2 linked regions of the Tamandua tetradactyla genome follow. The protein of the gene in region 2 purifies or fractionates together with the protein of the main gene of each other region. This does not show direct contact. Links are inferred from orthologs where the notes say so. Each region holds a gene or a part of one and is shown on either strand. Other genes may lie near its edges.

Region 1 (8,012 bases), on a different chromosome or scaffold from region 2:
CGCTCCCATCGGCCGCTGGGGAGAGAGCAGATGGCGCACAGGGAGGCCCAGAACTAGGGACCCTGGGGCTGAAAGGGGTATCACTGTGCACAGGCAGCCCCCCATTTCACAAAGGTAGAAACCAAGGGAGGCCCAGAGAGGATAAGCGAGCTTCCCCGAGCCCCTTGTGAACTGGCATTGAAGGTGGTTTAGAAGCCAGGACCCCTGTCTTCCAGCGACACAACGAGAAATGGGTCTGAATCCTTGAGTTCTAAAGGGTGATAGAAGAGGAGGTCTCCATGCCAACTCAAAGTGGCACCGTGCCCAACAGCTCCTGTCCCCTGGCCCTCAGCAGTCAGAGAGTCAGGGACCAGCCACAAGGAGGGTGCCAGGATGAGCCACCCCGAGGTGGTGCCAAATGGCAGCTTGTCATTGGGACAAACCGTGGTCTCTCCCCTGACTCTGACCTTGTGAGCGTGGGGTTAGACAGGCCCCTGGGTCGGATGGGAGTTCTGGGCTCGAGCTACCTCCTCCAAGCACTAGCTTTCCCAGGGCAGCTCTGTTTGCAGCCCCAGCCGATAGAGAGGGGGCTGGGGCCTGTGAGCTGTGACAGCTGACGGCACTGGGAACTGTCCCGCTGCTTCCAGGCCAGTGACCCAGACCCATGGCTGTCCGGACAATGGGTGCCAGCCAGCACATTCCACTAAACTGTGCGCAGAGGCAGCTGGAGGTGGGCAGAGAGGATGAGGCATAGCAGGGAAAGAGCACTGGCCTGGGAGTTCAAAGCTCTGAGCCTCCCCTCTTTAAGCCTCAGTTTCTCCAAGTTTTCAGTGGGGGGAAAATACCACCCGTTGTGCTGCCAGGTATACCAGTGCAAGGCAGAGCCCTTCCCTGGGCTTTAGGACGCTGGCATTCAGCACTGGAGCCTGGAGCCCCAGTCACAGATACAGGTGGTTTGCCCAAACCATGCTGCCAGACGGTGACCCTATACTCGGGCCATGCCACCTTGCTCTCAGACTCCTGCCTGTGCCCTAACACAGCCCACCTTATTCCCACTCAGGAGGAGATAGCGTGGTCTTCTGATGTTTCTTGAGCAACTACTCCATGCCTGGCATGGTCTGGCCAACTTCACAGCTTTGCTTTTTGGATCAACTGAGATGACAGGTGTCAAAATAAATAATAAGCTAGGATAAGTTCCACCATCATTCCTATCAGCACCATCACTACCACGGGCGACAAAGGAGACAGGAAAAGAGGAACGTCTCGTTTCTCAGGGTTCTAACACCTGCACCGCCGACCCAAGGCGGGGCCCCGCCAGGAGCAGTGCACTCTGGGGAGAGATTACCCAAACGCAGAGAGTTCCAGAAAAGGCCCCACCCCATACTTCTCAGAACTCCAACCTGCAGGAGGGTCTCAGGCTACTACCACCAAGAAGAGACGATGTGAGCCCTAGAGGCTGAGCACACCCTGAGCCCCCCACTTCCTCCCTCATGGCTTCGTCATTTCTGAACTCATTTTTGTTCTAACTGTCTCTTCTCCCTGGACAGGCCCTAGCTGACAGTCAGTTCTGGTTCCTGTTTTGAGAAATCTGATTGCAAACGTCTTAGCAAAAAAAAAAAAAGGGGGGGTGGGTGGCCCAAAATGCAGACAAATTTTCCTCTCCCAGGCTTGGTATTCAGTCAATCTGAAACCCCCCCTGGGGAGGTACACTAGCAGAGGCTGAGCTAGGTGCCTCGAAGCCTCAGGACACTGCAGAGCCACAGCCTTCACTTCACACCTTCCACATTTTGCAGATGAGAAAACTGAAGCCCAAAGTCAGGAAGGGACTTCCCTAAAATCACACGATGAGGCCGGGGCAGCCAGGGGTGGGCCCAGAGTCCGGCTGGGGCCACAGAGGCCACCTCTGCACAGAGGGAGATATATAGAGGGGACCGGCCTCACCCCGTGACACGAGGACTGGTTGGGGGGCACACAGCTCTTGCAGGAGCAGAACATCCAGGCCCTGGCTGAGGCCAGCCTGGTGGCAGAACCTATAACAAGACGCCAGGGGCCCTGATGGGGGGACCCCGATTGCACACTGGGTAACGTGTGTGGCACCGGACAGGTGTCCTACCCACCCCGGGGGACTGCTGTGGGGCTCCAGCAACGGGGAAATGGTCCGTAAGCCACCAAGCACCGGGGCAGCCACAGCTACCCTCTGCATCCTGTACGCTTCGGCGCCTACATCCTGAACAGCCTTAAACTTTGATACCAGGCACGATGACACGAGCTGTCTCACAGAGGGGTGGCATCTGTGGCCCAGGTGCGGCAGAGGTGCGGGGCTGGCCCCTGGTAAACGACCCACCTGGGCAGGGCGCGTGCCCCACGGTGCCCCCAGCCCACCACACCAAACCCAGCCCCAAGACAGTGATCCCGCAGCAGGAGCAAGGAAGGGTCCTGAGAAGCTGCCCTGAGGCTGGCTGTCTCCCTCCAACTTCACTCAAGTAGAGACTGGGGTGTGGGGGGGTGGGGGGGAGAGCACCCAGCTCCCCTGCAAGGCGTGGAAGGGAGCTGGGAGTAGGGACAGCCAAAGGATGGGGGCTATCAACAGGCCAGGTAAATGGTGGCCCGCAGAGGGGAGGGGACCCCACGGGGACCATGGGATGCTCCGAGGAGGACAAGGGGGAGAGTGATGGGGCTCTGGGGGTGGGTGGGGGCAGAGGGCAGGAGCGAAGGGCTGACAGACCGAGGGACCGGCAGAGTGGGGCAGTGGGGGGGGGGGGTGGGCCCTGGAGTTGAGGCGCTCGGGGCTCAGGCGCACAGGGCCTGGGGTCCCGGGCTCCGGGGACCTGGGGGTCGACCCGGGGCGCGTGTGAGGTGCTGGGCCCGGAGCCGGGGCGCTGGGGCCGCGGGGGGTCAGGGGGGTCGGCGCTGGGGGGGGCCGGGGCTGCGGGGCCGGGGCCCGGCGGGCTCACCTGGGCTCGGGCAGCAGGATCTTCTTGCTGGCGCGCGCGGCCGGCGTGGCCTTGCTCTTCTCCATGGCCATCAGGTAGCTCACGTCGGCCAGCACCGCCTCCAGGTCCGCCATCTTGGCGGCGGCGGCGGCTGCTCCTCCCGCCGCTCCCGCTCCCGCTCGCTCGGCGCGCTCGGCCCGGCCCGGCCGCCGCTCCGCTCGGCCTCGGGCGCCGCCGCCGCCCGCCCGCCCGCCCGGCCCCGCCCGCCGCCCGCCGCCCGCGGCTCCGCTCGGCCGCCGCTCACAGGCGGCGCCGCCCCATGGCGCCAGCTCGGGCCCGGGCCCGGCTCCCGTCCGCTCCCGCCGGGACTGCAGTCCGGGCGCCGCCGCCCGCCCGCGCCCCGGAGCCGCCGCCGCCGCCGCCGCCGCCTCCGGCCCCGCCTGCCGCGCGCAGCGCCAGCGAGCCCGCGAGGGGCCGAGCCGGGCGGGCGGGCGGCGCGGGCGGCCGGGGACGCCCCCTGGAGGCCGCGCGGGCCGCCCGGCCCTGCCCGCGGAGCCGGGACCCCGACCCAGACTTGGGGGCACGATCCCGGATCCCAGCGGCCGCCCGCCGGTTGCCCGCGGATCTCCACCCTCGAGCCCCGACCTGGAACCGAAGAGGTTCGGGATCCGAAGAGGACCCTAAATTCAACTCGGATCCCAACGCCGGACCCCGGGACTCCACGGTCAAACCTCAGTCCTGAGGCCAGAGCTGTTCCGATCAAGACCCCAGACTCCCACTTCCGATCCCCGTCCACGATCTGACCCCAGAACGCCAACAGGACCCCAGATCCAGAGCTTGATCATGAGACCTTGACCCAGATCACAACCCGGGACCCTGACTCCACACCAGGACCACGACACGGACCCCAGATCTGGACACAATCGTGACCCCAGCGCGCCAACAGGACCCCAGATCCAGACTTTGGACCTTGACTTCAGACGCTGGTCACATCCCCAGACCCAGAGCGCTCCCTTGACCCTGATCCCCACACTCGGGGTCAGGGCCCAGACCTGGACTTGAGTCCTGGACCTGCCACCCAGGATGCTGGACATATAGCCCAAGGCCAGGGCACCCCACCCTGGACCAAGACTGGATGAAGAACCCTTATAGGGTCACCAGGTCCCAGCACCTGGACCTGACAACTGCCCCAGACTCCACTCCCCACCCCTCTTTCTCCAGACCTGGCTGCAGGACTCCCACTCAGGACCACGGACCCTGCACACAAACCAGCCCCAGCCCACCCCAGACCCAGGCCCCTGACCTGCACACTTGGGTCAGCTTCCCTCCCTGCATCCCATCCCATTCGCGATGATTCCACAACGTGGGATCAGATCTCCCCCCCCCAGCCTGGGAGGGCACAGGGGTCTCAGTACTACCTGGCAGAGGAAGCCCACCCTGCTGAGAGCCCACCCAAGCAGGTGGCTTAAATCTGTGTGTCTCTAGGCAATGCGCACACACACACACACACACAGAATCTCAACATACCCCACTCTGGATCTCCTCCCCACTTCCTTTGGCAGCAGGTTCGATCCCCATGGCAGTTGGTGGGCCAGCCACCAGGAAGGATGCACTTGCAAAGCAAGGATCCCACCCTCATGGGCTTCTTGGAGAAGGAGTAAGCCCCTCTGGCTAGGGAGCGCAGACCAGTCCTGGCAGAGCCTAGAACTGAGTGTGTCAGGGAGGTGAGCTCCCCTTCTCACTGGGTGGCACCGCCGTCCCTGCAGATACACACCCAAGTCAGAACTGCAGGTATCATCCCAACCCCTCCCTCTTCTCTCACCTTTCCCTACTCTAATTTATCACCACGCCATCCTGGGCTGGCCTCCTGAAAATCCTCTCGGACCACCAGTCCACTCCTTGGGGGTTGCTGCCCTGATGCAGGGCCTAACCACAATTGCCAGTCCCAAATCTAGAGCTCCTGGGTCACCACTTATTAAGCATGAAGATGCAGCTCTCTAGGACTTTGGGAGCTGCTGGGAGTGGGGGACCCACTTAAGCCCAAAAGCAGATCAGGTTGAGTTGAGTCTTGGATGGCTGGGCCCTGCCCTCATGTCCCACTACTGCTCGTTTTGCCACCATCCTCTGCACCTAAGGTTACCCCAAGCAGACTGCTAATCAGTTTTCACCTGCACGCCCTATGCCTGGAAGCCCTTCTTTGTGCCTTCTTTCCTGACGTTATAACTCCTGCTTGTCCTTCAAGACCCACCTCCTCCACGCAGCCTTCCATGATGCCCTAACCCCAACTGTGTCCATCCCTGATTCTGCACTCACCACCCTATTTCCTTGATTTGAAAACATCATCAGTTGTAAGGTGCACCACTGACAGTGAGGGGTGGGGCTTTATGGAACGTTCGCATCACTGGAGAACACATCCTGACATAGGAAATGCTCAAGCATGAAAATATAAAGGTAAATCTCACTGTAATCAACGCTCGGGGTTCATCTCTTCCCCCCTAGGCCTAGTTTGGCACCCATAACAGAAAGGCCATCAGTCAATATTGGATGAAAGAATGAGTGACCAAGTGCGTGAACTCCCTAGCCCGAGGTGACACATGGAGACGGAGGCAGCACCCGGGCCAAGGTGCACAGCAGGGGGCCCCTAACTCTCCCCCACCCCCTGACTCCTTGGGTTTTCTGGGCAGCCCCTATTTGAGAGATTCTGCTTGATAAACTTGTCAGAACAGGTTCTGCCTGTGGGTTCTGAGTTTGCCAGCCATCCTGCCCCGGGAGCTGGTCCTGCCCTCTCCCCACCCCCCGCCACCTCATAAAACCCTGACAACCCCTCCCGCCCTTGGCCCAGCCCATACCCCTAGCCTCATTGATTCCCGGGACCCAGAAAAGTGGGAGAAGTTGGTGTGACTGCCCGGCCCGGGTAGAGGTGGGGACCGGAGCCTGGTTTGGGGGGCAGTGCTGCCCTCTGGTGGTTCTGGGTAGGTCGGCAGGTAGACTTGCCTGGGTGTCAGACTCCAGGCATTCCTTCTTGCAACAAACCCTCATCCGGTTCCCAGACGGGGCCAGGCTGTGGCTGGGAGGCTGGCAGTGCCAAGAGCCATGGACCACCCTCCATCTCTGCCTGGGTGGCAGACGCATAGACGCTTTATTACTTGGCACCCACCCTGGGTGACTAACAGGTGCTGCAAGTGAAACATCCCACACTGAGCTCTCGCCACCGCCAACCAACCCCCTGCCCACCCTGCTTCTCTCCCGCACCCCCATCTCAGTCATGGCTCTTTCATCTTCCAAAAACCCAGGAGTCGTCCTCAGTATATTTCTGTCCCCTTCCCCACCCCACCCCCACACGCATACGCTGTAGTCCAGACTGACCTGTCAGCTACCTGCTGTGACTGTCTCCAAAATGTACCCTGAATCCTTTGACAGCGCCCTGCTAAAGCCCAGTCCAAGTCCCCATCACCTCTCACTTTCTGGCGAGGTGGGCTCCTGCTCACTCTGCTGTCTCATTGGCTGAAAGGTTTCCTTGGCGTCCCTGCCGTCACGGCTGTGTCCCTCATACCCAGCATGGCTCCTGGCACAACGCGAGGGCTGCAGGGGGAAATCGGACTCAGCGTTGGCCCAGTCTGATGGGAAAGAAGGCCCCTAATCATATACAGTCTTATCCATTATTCACGGATTCTGTAGTTGCAAATTCACCAACTGGCGAAAATGACTCTGTTCCCCCGAATTGATATTGGCAGCGCTTTGGCGGTCATTCACAGACACGTCCAGAGCAGACGAAAATTTCCAGCTGAGGTTGAACACCTTGACTCTTGGACTTGTCATTTCAGTTCTCATGCTGCTAAACAAGTGTGTTTTTCATGATATATTTAGTGCCATGTTTTTTGCGCATTTTGGGGGGTTGCTCTTTTGTTGGTGATTTTGCTGTTTAAAATGGCCCCCCCAGCGTAGCGCTGAAGTGCTGTCTAGTGTTCCTAAATACACGAAGACTCCGATGTACCTTACAGAGAAGGCACGTGTGTAAGAGAAACTTTGTCGAGGTGTAAGGTAGAGTGCTGTTGGTTGCAAGTACAGTGTTATGAATCAATAATATATATTGAATTAGATGTCTTTAAACAAAAACACACCTAATTGTGGAATTGTAACCCACACCAAACTCTGAAATCTGTTCTGCGGCTAATTGTCATGCTGTGCTTGGAAATTTATTGCTTTTTTGTATATATGTTATTTTTCACACAAAAAAAGAAAAAAAGTTAATTGTGATGATTCAGAAAATATTTATTCCTTCTAGCCTCCTATATTCTGGAGCAGCTAGAAGGAAAAATCTGAGAGGATCATATGGTAGCCCATGACAAACTCTGGGATCTGTCCTCTAACTACTCGCTGAAGAGTGCTTTGAAAACCATTGGTTTTTTCTTGCTTTGCTTTGCATATATGTTATATCATACAATATATATATGTTATACAATAAAAATAATTGTACAATAAAAAATTATACAATAAAGAAGTAAAAAACAACAACAAAAACCAGAAAAGCCTAAAACAAGGTTATGTATTGACTGACAAAAAGGTGACCAGAGCTTGCAGGAACTTGTACTTCTCTTAGGGGCAAGGGTTCGGTATTCATTGCAACTACTGTGAATAATGAGAATAATTACAGCAATAATGCGAATTGGCTGTACCTCCAATTAATCTGGCAAGAGCTTTAATGCAAGGTGGAGGCACCCAGGAGAAGGCCGCCCGCTGGCCATTCAGGGCCAAGGGAAGGTCTTGCATGTGACAGTGTCTGCATGTGCCCGTGAATGGGCACAGGGTGGAGAGGGCATGTGCGGTTCTCTCCTGCCCGGGCCTGGCCTCACCATCTGTCTTGGTACCCAGCTTTGAAGATGGCAGAGTCTTCTCTGGCCTCACCAGGGGTACACTGGGCAGATCTGGAGAAACTCCTGCCTGACAGCGACAGCCACCTCTCATGCATTCCTCATTCCTTTGACAATATTTGTTGAGTGCCTACTACCTAGAGAGAGCCAGACGGTGAGCTTACAAACTATGCATAATGATAATAACCGTTGGGTTCTCACTCTATTCAAGAGCCTAGATGATCTCACT
Region 2 (8,072 bases):
GGGTTGGAGTATCTACAGAATTACTTCAATCCATCCTCCCCACCCTCCAGTAATTGATGAGAGGATTAAGACAATATTTAGGGGCTGAAGAATTCCAAAATTCGTTAGGGGCTGAAGAATTCCAAAATTCGTTATTTTCCAAAAAGGTAATTAAGAATCAACAGGAAGAAGAAAAAAAACCAAACACCAAACAAAAAATACTGTATCACCAAAAGAATATAAACTGTTTCTGTCTTAAGAAAACCAAAAATCTATTTTAAATTAACAGTTGCTTTTCAAAAAGGCCCCAAGAATCCCCAAATTGAGGAACGTGGAGAGTCTGCGGCCCCTCCCTCCAAACAGGCGTTCTTAAAACACATTTCTTCTTTCTGCCTGCAAAATGCAGCTTCCCCCCAGAATAATACCTTCTAAAAAGCCCCCACCCGCGAGGAAACATTAATCTACTTTGCAAACATGCGTTCCAGTCTGCTTTACTATTTTTTTCAACTCCTCCCCCCCAACACACCCTTTTTTTTTTTGTACCTTGAGACAAATGTTTTTTTCCCCCAGAGTTGAAAGCCGTCCAAAAACAGGACCACACACGCAGCCGCCTCCGCAGGCCGGCGCTCCGCCCGCCCCTCCGCCCTCCCCAAGCGCAGCGGCCGCGGCCGCCGGAGGCGCGCGCACTCCTTCCAGCCGGAGGGGTGGCTTTTTTCTTCCACCCCATTCCTTTCTGTTTGGACGAGGTGGGTGGGGGCGGGGGAGGGAATGAAGCTGAGGAGGAGACCCAAGACGCAAGAGCCCTTCACCCTAGCCGCGTCTTGGGGCGCTGCACCAGCCGAACCCTGGCGGGCCCAGGCCCGGGGGACCCCCGGCCGTGCGGAGTGGTCCGTCCCGCAGAGGGGCCCTGCGCCCCCGCCAGCCCGCCCTCGCCACTCTCTCCCACAACACCTAGCAGAGCGCAGCGCCCCGAGTAGATTACAGCGCGGCCTTTGTCGGGCGGGCCTGGCTCCTAGCCAGGCGCCCAAACAATAAACAATTCCCCCTGGTGTGGGCAAGGGTTTTTCTCTCTTTACTGAAAGGCTCTAGGTGTATTCTGGTAAATATCTTTATCAACTGAAAGGCAGGGAAGGGGGACTGGGGACTGGGGACTGGGGGAAAGAAGGGCGCAGCAGCCAGCGCTGAGTATCTTACCTTCCACCCACAGCTCCTCCACGTTGGTCTCGAGATTAGCTGCCTTTAATCCTACAGCGAAGGCCCCAAATATGAGGAGGCCCACAACCAAAAACTTGCCGCAGTTTTTTTGAATGTAACAACCCAGTTTAAATAAGAGTCTCTGAAACTTCGCTCTCAGCCACAGCGGCGCTTTCCGGCCAGTAGCCTTCCCCTAGGGACGAAGCAGAAGTGAGGAGTGAGTGCTGGAGAGTCCCCGCGCGCGCACCCACGCCCGGTCGCACACACCCGCCCGAGGATCCCCCGACGGCCCTGGCCTCGGGCGGCTGCGACGCAGCGACTCGCCCTCGGGGCTGGAACCCAGTCCGGCCCGAGGTAACGCGAGCGGCGTGGCGGGGGTGGGTGGGAGGGGGGCTGGTCATAAATTATAAATCCGGCTGCAGCGTGGGAGCTGCATCTCGGCGACAGGAGGGGCACCCCCACGCACGTCCGGCGCAGCATCCCTAAGCGTGACTTGGGGGCCTAGGATGGACAGGACACCCGGAGGAGGAAGCCGAGGAAGAGAGAAGCGAAATCGCTTAACACTGGCAATATTTACCCTGGGTTAGGGAAGAGGGATGGGGGTACATAATCCCTGCGGGTGGAGCCCAGTTTTTAAGAACAAGCCAACCCAGTTCCCCTTCCCAGTAGATCCTGCTCCAGCCATCACCAGCTCGGGGTGCCCCGGCAGGGACCGGGGGCAGGGGGGTGAGCGCGCTTTGTTAACAATGTATTGCGGGTTCCCGCATCTAAACCCCCCGCCCGGCGTGGTAGCAAACGAGGATCCACGTGGTGAGCGCGGCGACCGGAGCTCACTCGCGATGCATTTCCATGCGGCTGTGTGAGCTGAATTAGGAAGTGGGGCAGCCATCTCCAACTTACGACAATATTTGTGATCGGAAGAGGGCAGCCACATGGATCTTTCCCTCCTCTCCCTTCCCTTCTGGTTAAACGTAAAAAACCACCCGAGTGCCCTGGGGAAGGGCCCAGGCCGATGCAGGCGGGGGTCCTGGCGGGGCGCTGGTTCCTCCCGGCGGCGGCGTTTCCCCCGCGCTGGCCGCGACCCCGGGCCCGGCGGGCCCCCGTCTGGGTGCTTGCCTTCCCCGGATTCCACACATTTCAACGAGCCTCGTAAACACAATGAACCCGGCCGCTCCATAGACCCGCACTGCGGATTTAAGGTGGCAATTTGTTTACAACGTTCCCTTTCTCCCCAGGCTTTGAGAATAGGCGGCTCAAAAACCGTCAAAGAAGAGGGGGGATGCCCTCTCCCGAAGATAATTTTTAAGGGAGCAGAGATTCATGCTCGACAAAAGCAAAACCGGCTGCCAAAAAAGGAAACCACCTTTATTTCAGCTCCCTCCCCCCCTTCCTCTCTCCGCCTCCCTCCACTCCGCCTCCCCCTTCAAGATGTTAAGAAATGTGGCTTTACAGGGGTTTAGGCTGCAAATAGTGGCAGGGGTGCAGCAGGAGGGGGGCAGGGGCAGGGGCACGGGGGCAGGGCAGTTCCGCGGCTGCCCTCGAGGTGGTCGACTGTGGATCGCTTTCCAGTTTTCCAGAAAGGAACGCCGGGGAGGGCGCGTGTACACGCGCGCGCGCGCGCACACACACACACACACACACACACACACACCTCCACCCCCTGTGGCCCTCAGACAGCCCTTTCCTCCCAAGACCGGAGGGAGGGTTTGAATTTTTCAATCCCCACTTGTCTACTTCTTTTGCTGGAGGGGTGTGTGTGTGTGTGTGCGTGCGTGCGTGCGTGTGTGTGTGGCGGGGGCGTCCCAAAGAGGAAGAGGAGGGAAAAGAGAGTGGGAGGAGAAGAGAGTCTGAAATGCACCTTGGAAATCTGCTCCAGAGCGAAGGCGGCGTCGCAGTAGCTGGGCCGGTGCAGATAGTCCCGGTCCGGCGCGGCGGTGCGGCGCAGCCCCCCGGTCCGTCTGCGCCTCCCGCCGCCGCCGCCGCCACCGCCGGCCGGTCGGTCGGGAGTACCACTGCATCCGCCGCCGCGGTCCTGGGGCTCCGCGGCGTTACCAGCCGAGGCCATGTTGCCGCCGCCGCCGCCGCCGCCGCGGGGACCGAGGCTTCCCGGGCTGCCCGGCGCGCTGCTGCTGCCGCCGCTGCGAGCTCCCAGCGCGCCCAGGCGCTCGGCTCGCGAGGACGCTGCTGGCCCCCGGCTGCTCGCGCTCGGGCTGACAGACCTGCTTCTCCGGCTCACACGGCGGGCGCTGCTGTCGCTGCGGCCGCGGCCGCTGCCGGGGAGTCAGCCCCTGCGCCTTCCATTGCCACATTGCGCGGGGGTCCCGAGGTCTCTGCGGCCGCCGCTGCCCACATCCAGTTCGCGGGAGGGCGAGAGCTGGCGCGCGGGGCGAACCTGTCCCTCCGGCGCTCCGCGGTGGCTCCTTGCGGCCCCCAACCCGCCCCTCGACCCAGCACCTCGACCCCTTCACTGCAGAAAGCACGAGCAAAACCCCGCCGCTCCCGCCGGCGGGGCTGACTCCCTCGGCGTCTCCCGGGTCGCCCCAGCTGCTGGGGAGGACAAGCGCAGGATTGCCGCGGCCGCCGCGGGGTCCGGGGCTGCCCGGCGGCTCTCAGCGCTGCCGGGCGGGGGCAGCCGCCGCCACCGTCGCTGCTGCTGCTCCCGCGGCTGCTGCTGCTCTCGAGGTTGCTGCTGCTGCTGTTGCTGCTGCCGGTGCTCCTGCTGCTGCTGCTGCTGCTGGCCGTGGCGGCTCCTGAAGCTGTTGCTCGGGCTTCTGGGGCTGCTCGGGCTCTGGCTGCTGGGTTCGCGGTGGCTGCTTGGTCCCGGACTCTGCTTTCTTGTGCTCCTCGCCGACTCGCTGGACCATTCTGCCCCCGTGCAGCGCGCCTCTCTCGCTCCCGGGACCTGAGGACTCCGCTCTGTGTGTGTGCAGCGGGCAGCGGCCGCAGCAGCTCCTTGATTCAATAGATGAGATGGAAGAAGAAAAAAAAGAACTCTCTCCATTTGGAGAAAGAGGAGGAGGAGGGGAGGGGGTGGAGGGGGAAAGAGCGAGCGAAAGAGAAAAAGGCTGGAGCTCCCGCCCCCGGGGCTGTCAGATGGCTTGGGTTTCTGCGACGCGATTGGCTCGCGGAGGGCAGAAATTACTCAGCAAACATGACTATTATTAGCTGCTTAGCAACAGCTCACCAAAGTAGAGAGACCACCCAGGTAGGCAACCCCAGTGTGTGCATCCCCGGCTTCAGGGGGAGCCTCCGAGAGCGCCAACCTTCTCGCATGCAATACTTCCATTAAGGAATGCACCCCCCTCCCTTCTTTCTTATTCCTTTTCTTTTCAACAGTGTCTTCTTTTTGTGAGTCGCCTTTTGCGCGCACACACTAGCGCGCGCGCGCACACACACACACACACACACTCGTATTTGCTTCGCGACAGACACGGGAAAAATGTAATATTTTTTTAAGCGCTTAAACAATTTCTGAAATTCCTCAAAGAAAACCCTTTCAGAGGCACCCTGGCCTCAAGCTGCAGCAGATACTGGGAGGTCCGGCTTGAATTCCCAGGCCTGCGCCGATAATGACAGGGTGGCGGATAGTGCACCAGTGTGTGCCAGATTTTTTTTCCCCCTTCTTCTCTTTTCTTTTATAACTAAAGGGAAGACTTAGACTCTCGCAGGGAAAAACGCCTCGCATTAAGATAAACAAAATGGGAAGTTAAAGAGGAAAATGAGGACATTGAGAAAAGCCCCCTTTCTTAAAATTGCCCGCCTCCCAAAGAGCCCGCTTCCCCACCCCAAACCCCCGGAAAACCCCACGACCACACAACCCTGGTTTGAAGGAGTCCGGAGTCCCTGTTGTATAAACGTTGAATCCAGACACCCGAAGCAGTCTTGTGAAGGCAGAGGCGCTTTTTATTTGAATCTTAAATGTAACATAAATAAAAGGAGAAACAACAGAATCCTTTCAAAAGCCCAGAGAAACGCAGTTGTTTTTCTGAGGACAGAAACCTTGCCCTGGTTATTTGCGGTTCATTCGGAGTCATCTCCCATCTTTTTTTTTTCGCCAGTCTCATGTCCTTATTTATTGAAAGTCAGTTTTAAACGGATTTTTACAAAAACCGTAGCCATCCTGTTATATTTAGTAGTAGCGCAACGTACCAGGGGAGAATAAAGGCTATGATGTTGGATTCTTCATTCGAAACAAATTGTGCGCTGATCGCGAGGACTTGTCCCAACCTTGCGGCCACTGTCACCAATATAGTCCGGGGATTCACTTCCCATTGGGGAAGAAAGCCCGGGACCCTTTGGGGGTGGATCCTGGGGCCAGAGACAAATCAAACTGTCTAAACAGCTCCGCTTTACATTAAAATAATTTTTTTCGAGCTGGTGGATTTTGTTTTTCTTACGTTCGCAAGTTATTCAATTCCTCCCTGTGGTAGGGGCCAGATCCCTGAATCATACCTCGTTTCAATCGTTTTTCTTTCTTTTTATCTCTAAACTGCAAAATTTAAGTTTGAACTGCAAAGAAATCCGCGGCAGCGAGGAGCCAACTGAGGCCGTGAAATGGAGCAGTATAGCTTTAAGATGCACACGGTGTGTGTTCATTGAAAAAAAAAGAAGAAAGAAAGGAAAGGAAAGGAAAGAAAGAAACCCAGATGGAGAGAAAGGGGGTGGAGCGGGGGAGGAGGCGGAGTCCGCGGGCCACGTGACCCGGGGCAGAGCCCGCGCGTTAGTCGCCGCCTCGGCGGCCGGGAGGCCTGTGCGCGCGCGTGTGTGTACGGGTGCGCGCGCGCGCTCGGGTTCTTGGACTCCCCGCGCCCGAGGTCCAAGCCAAGCAGGCAGGAAGAGTCGGTGCGCTGGGCCGGCTGCTCCAGCCGGGACTCCCTGGAGCCTGGGCGAGGCGCGCGCCCGCCTGCACCGATGGACGTGCGGAACACGCCGTAGTACATTCCTGAAGGCAGTCCGGCCCCCTTACGTCGCCCAAAGCTTGCCCAGCCCCCCCGCGGCTGGCCAATAGCTGCGCGCTCTGGTCCTTCCCATTCAGCGGCCCCGCATTGCCGGCCCCGGCCCGCGCAGGGCTGCAGCGGGGCGCGCGGGCCACCGGGGCGGCCCACGCGGCTCCCGCAGGGGGCCTGTCCGCCAGCCCACCCCGCCCCCTTCCTTCCTCCCTCTCCTTCAGCCTACGGTTCCCTCCTCCCTATTTGCTTTCCTTTCCTTTCCCTTCATCTTTTCCTTCTAACCCTTTTTCTTTCTCACCCATCTACCCTTCCCTCGTCAGCCTCGCCTCATTCCCTCTACCTTTTTCTCCTTCCCGGTTACCCTGGGTGTCCTGGAGAATAAAGAGAGACAAAGAGATTAGAAGTATCTGGGGGGTGTTCCGGGAGCAGGAGGAGGACTCGAGTACCGGAGCAGCGCGGAAATTCAAAACCCCTGACTCCAAGGAACACGTGATTTTGTGTGCCGGCTCTTGGAAAGGTCTGCTAAAACCCTGAAGGGAAAACAAGCACGGTGCAATTTAAATGACACGGCATTAATAAATAATATTGCAGGAAGGTCGGGCTCGACACGTAGTCAGTTTAACCTTTGAGCAAAATCCTAATCCTTATTACGTTTGATAAATAACATAAAGCAGGAAGGGCGATTTATTATTCTAATTTTTCTTCCTGAACGATTTCTGCAAACTTTTGAAGTCAGGCCACTTCGTGCTTGCTGTTGGAAATTGTTTTTTAAAGACTTGGGGGTAATAGCCGTAGCTTCACACCAGGTACCCCACGGATACGTTACTATGTTCATCTTTTCAAATTTCTTTACAATGTTTTAAACCAAAAGATCAGCTTTTCCTCCCAGCCTTTTATTTATAGGAATCTCAGTGCCCCTACTTGGATTATGGAATTCTAGCATGAAATTTTAGGCTATGTACAAATCGTAGCAACGTTTAAATCCGCGCAGGCAGCTTCAGGTACTCCTGTTCTGGCTACTGCTTTATGTGCACCATTTTAATGGCAAAGCTTTTCCCACTCGGACTCATTCCCCTCGGTTTGACTTAATTCCCAAACGTTTTGAACATTGATCCGCGAGGTTTTCAGCGCCCAGAGCCCTCTTGCCCGCTGTTTGATAGGTTAACTTTTCAGAATTGCAGACAATGGTCTCGGCCTGTAAATTCTACCCATTGGTTCCAGAACGCAATCCCGAGCATGGGCTCTAACAAGCGCTATCTTAATCTCTCCACCCCCCACCCGCCGCTTCCCCTGTGGTCTGCTTTTTTTCATACGCAGAGATGAATTACTTTGAGGATCTAATTGGCCTTGTTTCTGTAAGGTTTTAAGAAAGGGAAGAGGAGCTAGTGTAAAAAGCCTGCTCGACTTGGGTGGTCAGGGCTGAGGCCGCCCCCAATTTGCCTCATTGCTGATGCATGCGAGTGCGACATTCCCAGCGATAATGTTGTCCCTAATCAATCTGGCCTTATTTACATTTGTAAGCATTGTTGGCTTTAATATGCATGCCCTGAGCAGGGGACCGCAGCACCACACCGGGTTTGTTAACTTCAACTAACCACAAGGATCCCACAGACCTGATATGGTGCTGATTGGAGGAGCCAGGCCTGCCTAAGGTGTCTGCTGGGAAGAGGGTCCCTTTAATGGCCTTTCTGTGGCTTAGCTCCCCTCCTGAGAGCTTGGGGCCTTATCAACCAGCAGGAGTTGCCTGCCTCCTTGAAGAAAGAGCTGATTTTTCCCATTTCTTCTTTCCTAATAAAGTTCATCTCGGGGCATAAATTGTCATTTTCCCCCCTCCCCATCATGATCCAAGTCTTTCCTGGAGCCTGTAGCTTTAAAAATAGATTCCTTCAACCCTCTGGATTCCTTCATATTTCCTCCCTTTTTCTGTTTCAATACTTCAAATATCCACCC

The links.
Region 1: the proteins of PTCH1 (region 2) and GRK2 purify together in Homo sapiens (affinity purification with western blotting; 3 studies listed by BioGRID and IntAct, with this or other methods). This does not show direct contact. The link is inferred for Tamandua tetradactyla from reciprocal best matches to the Homo sapiens genes PTCH1 and GRK2.

Annotation. Positions count from the first base shown.
Region 1 is NC_135335.1:7,144,857-7,152,868, forward strand, and holds the start of GRK2 (beta-adrenergic receptor kinase 1), read right to left. Parts: upstream 3,079-8,012; 5' UTR 3,047-3,078; coding exon 2,934-3,046; intron 2,301-2,933; exon of another isoform or gene 1,921-2,300; intron 1-1,920. UniProt on the Homo sapiens protein: Specifically phosphorylates the agonist-occupied form of the beta-adrenergic and closely related receptors, probably inducing a desensitization of them. Key regulator of LPAR1 signaling.
Region 2 is NC_135328.1:122,452,283-122,460,354, forward strand, and holds the start of PTCH1 (protein patched homolog 1), read right to left. Parts: upstream 3,239-8,072; coding exon 3,032-3,238; intron 2,225-3,031; exon of another isoform or gene 2,074-2,224; intron 1,367-2,073; coding exon 1,174-1,366; intron 646-1,173; exon of another isoform or gene 523-645; intron 1-522.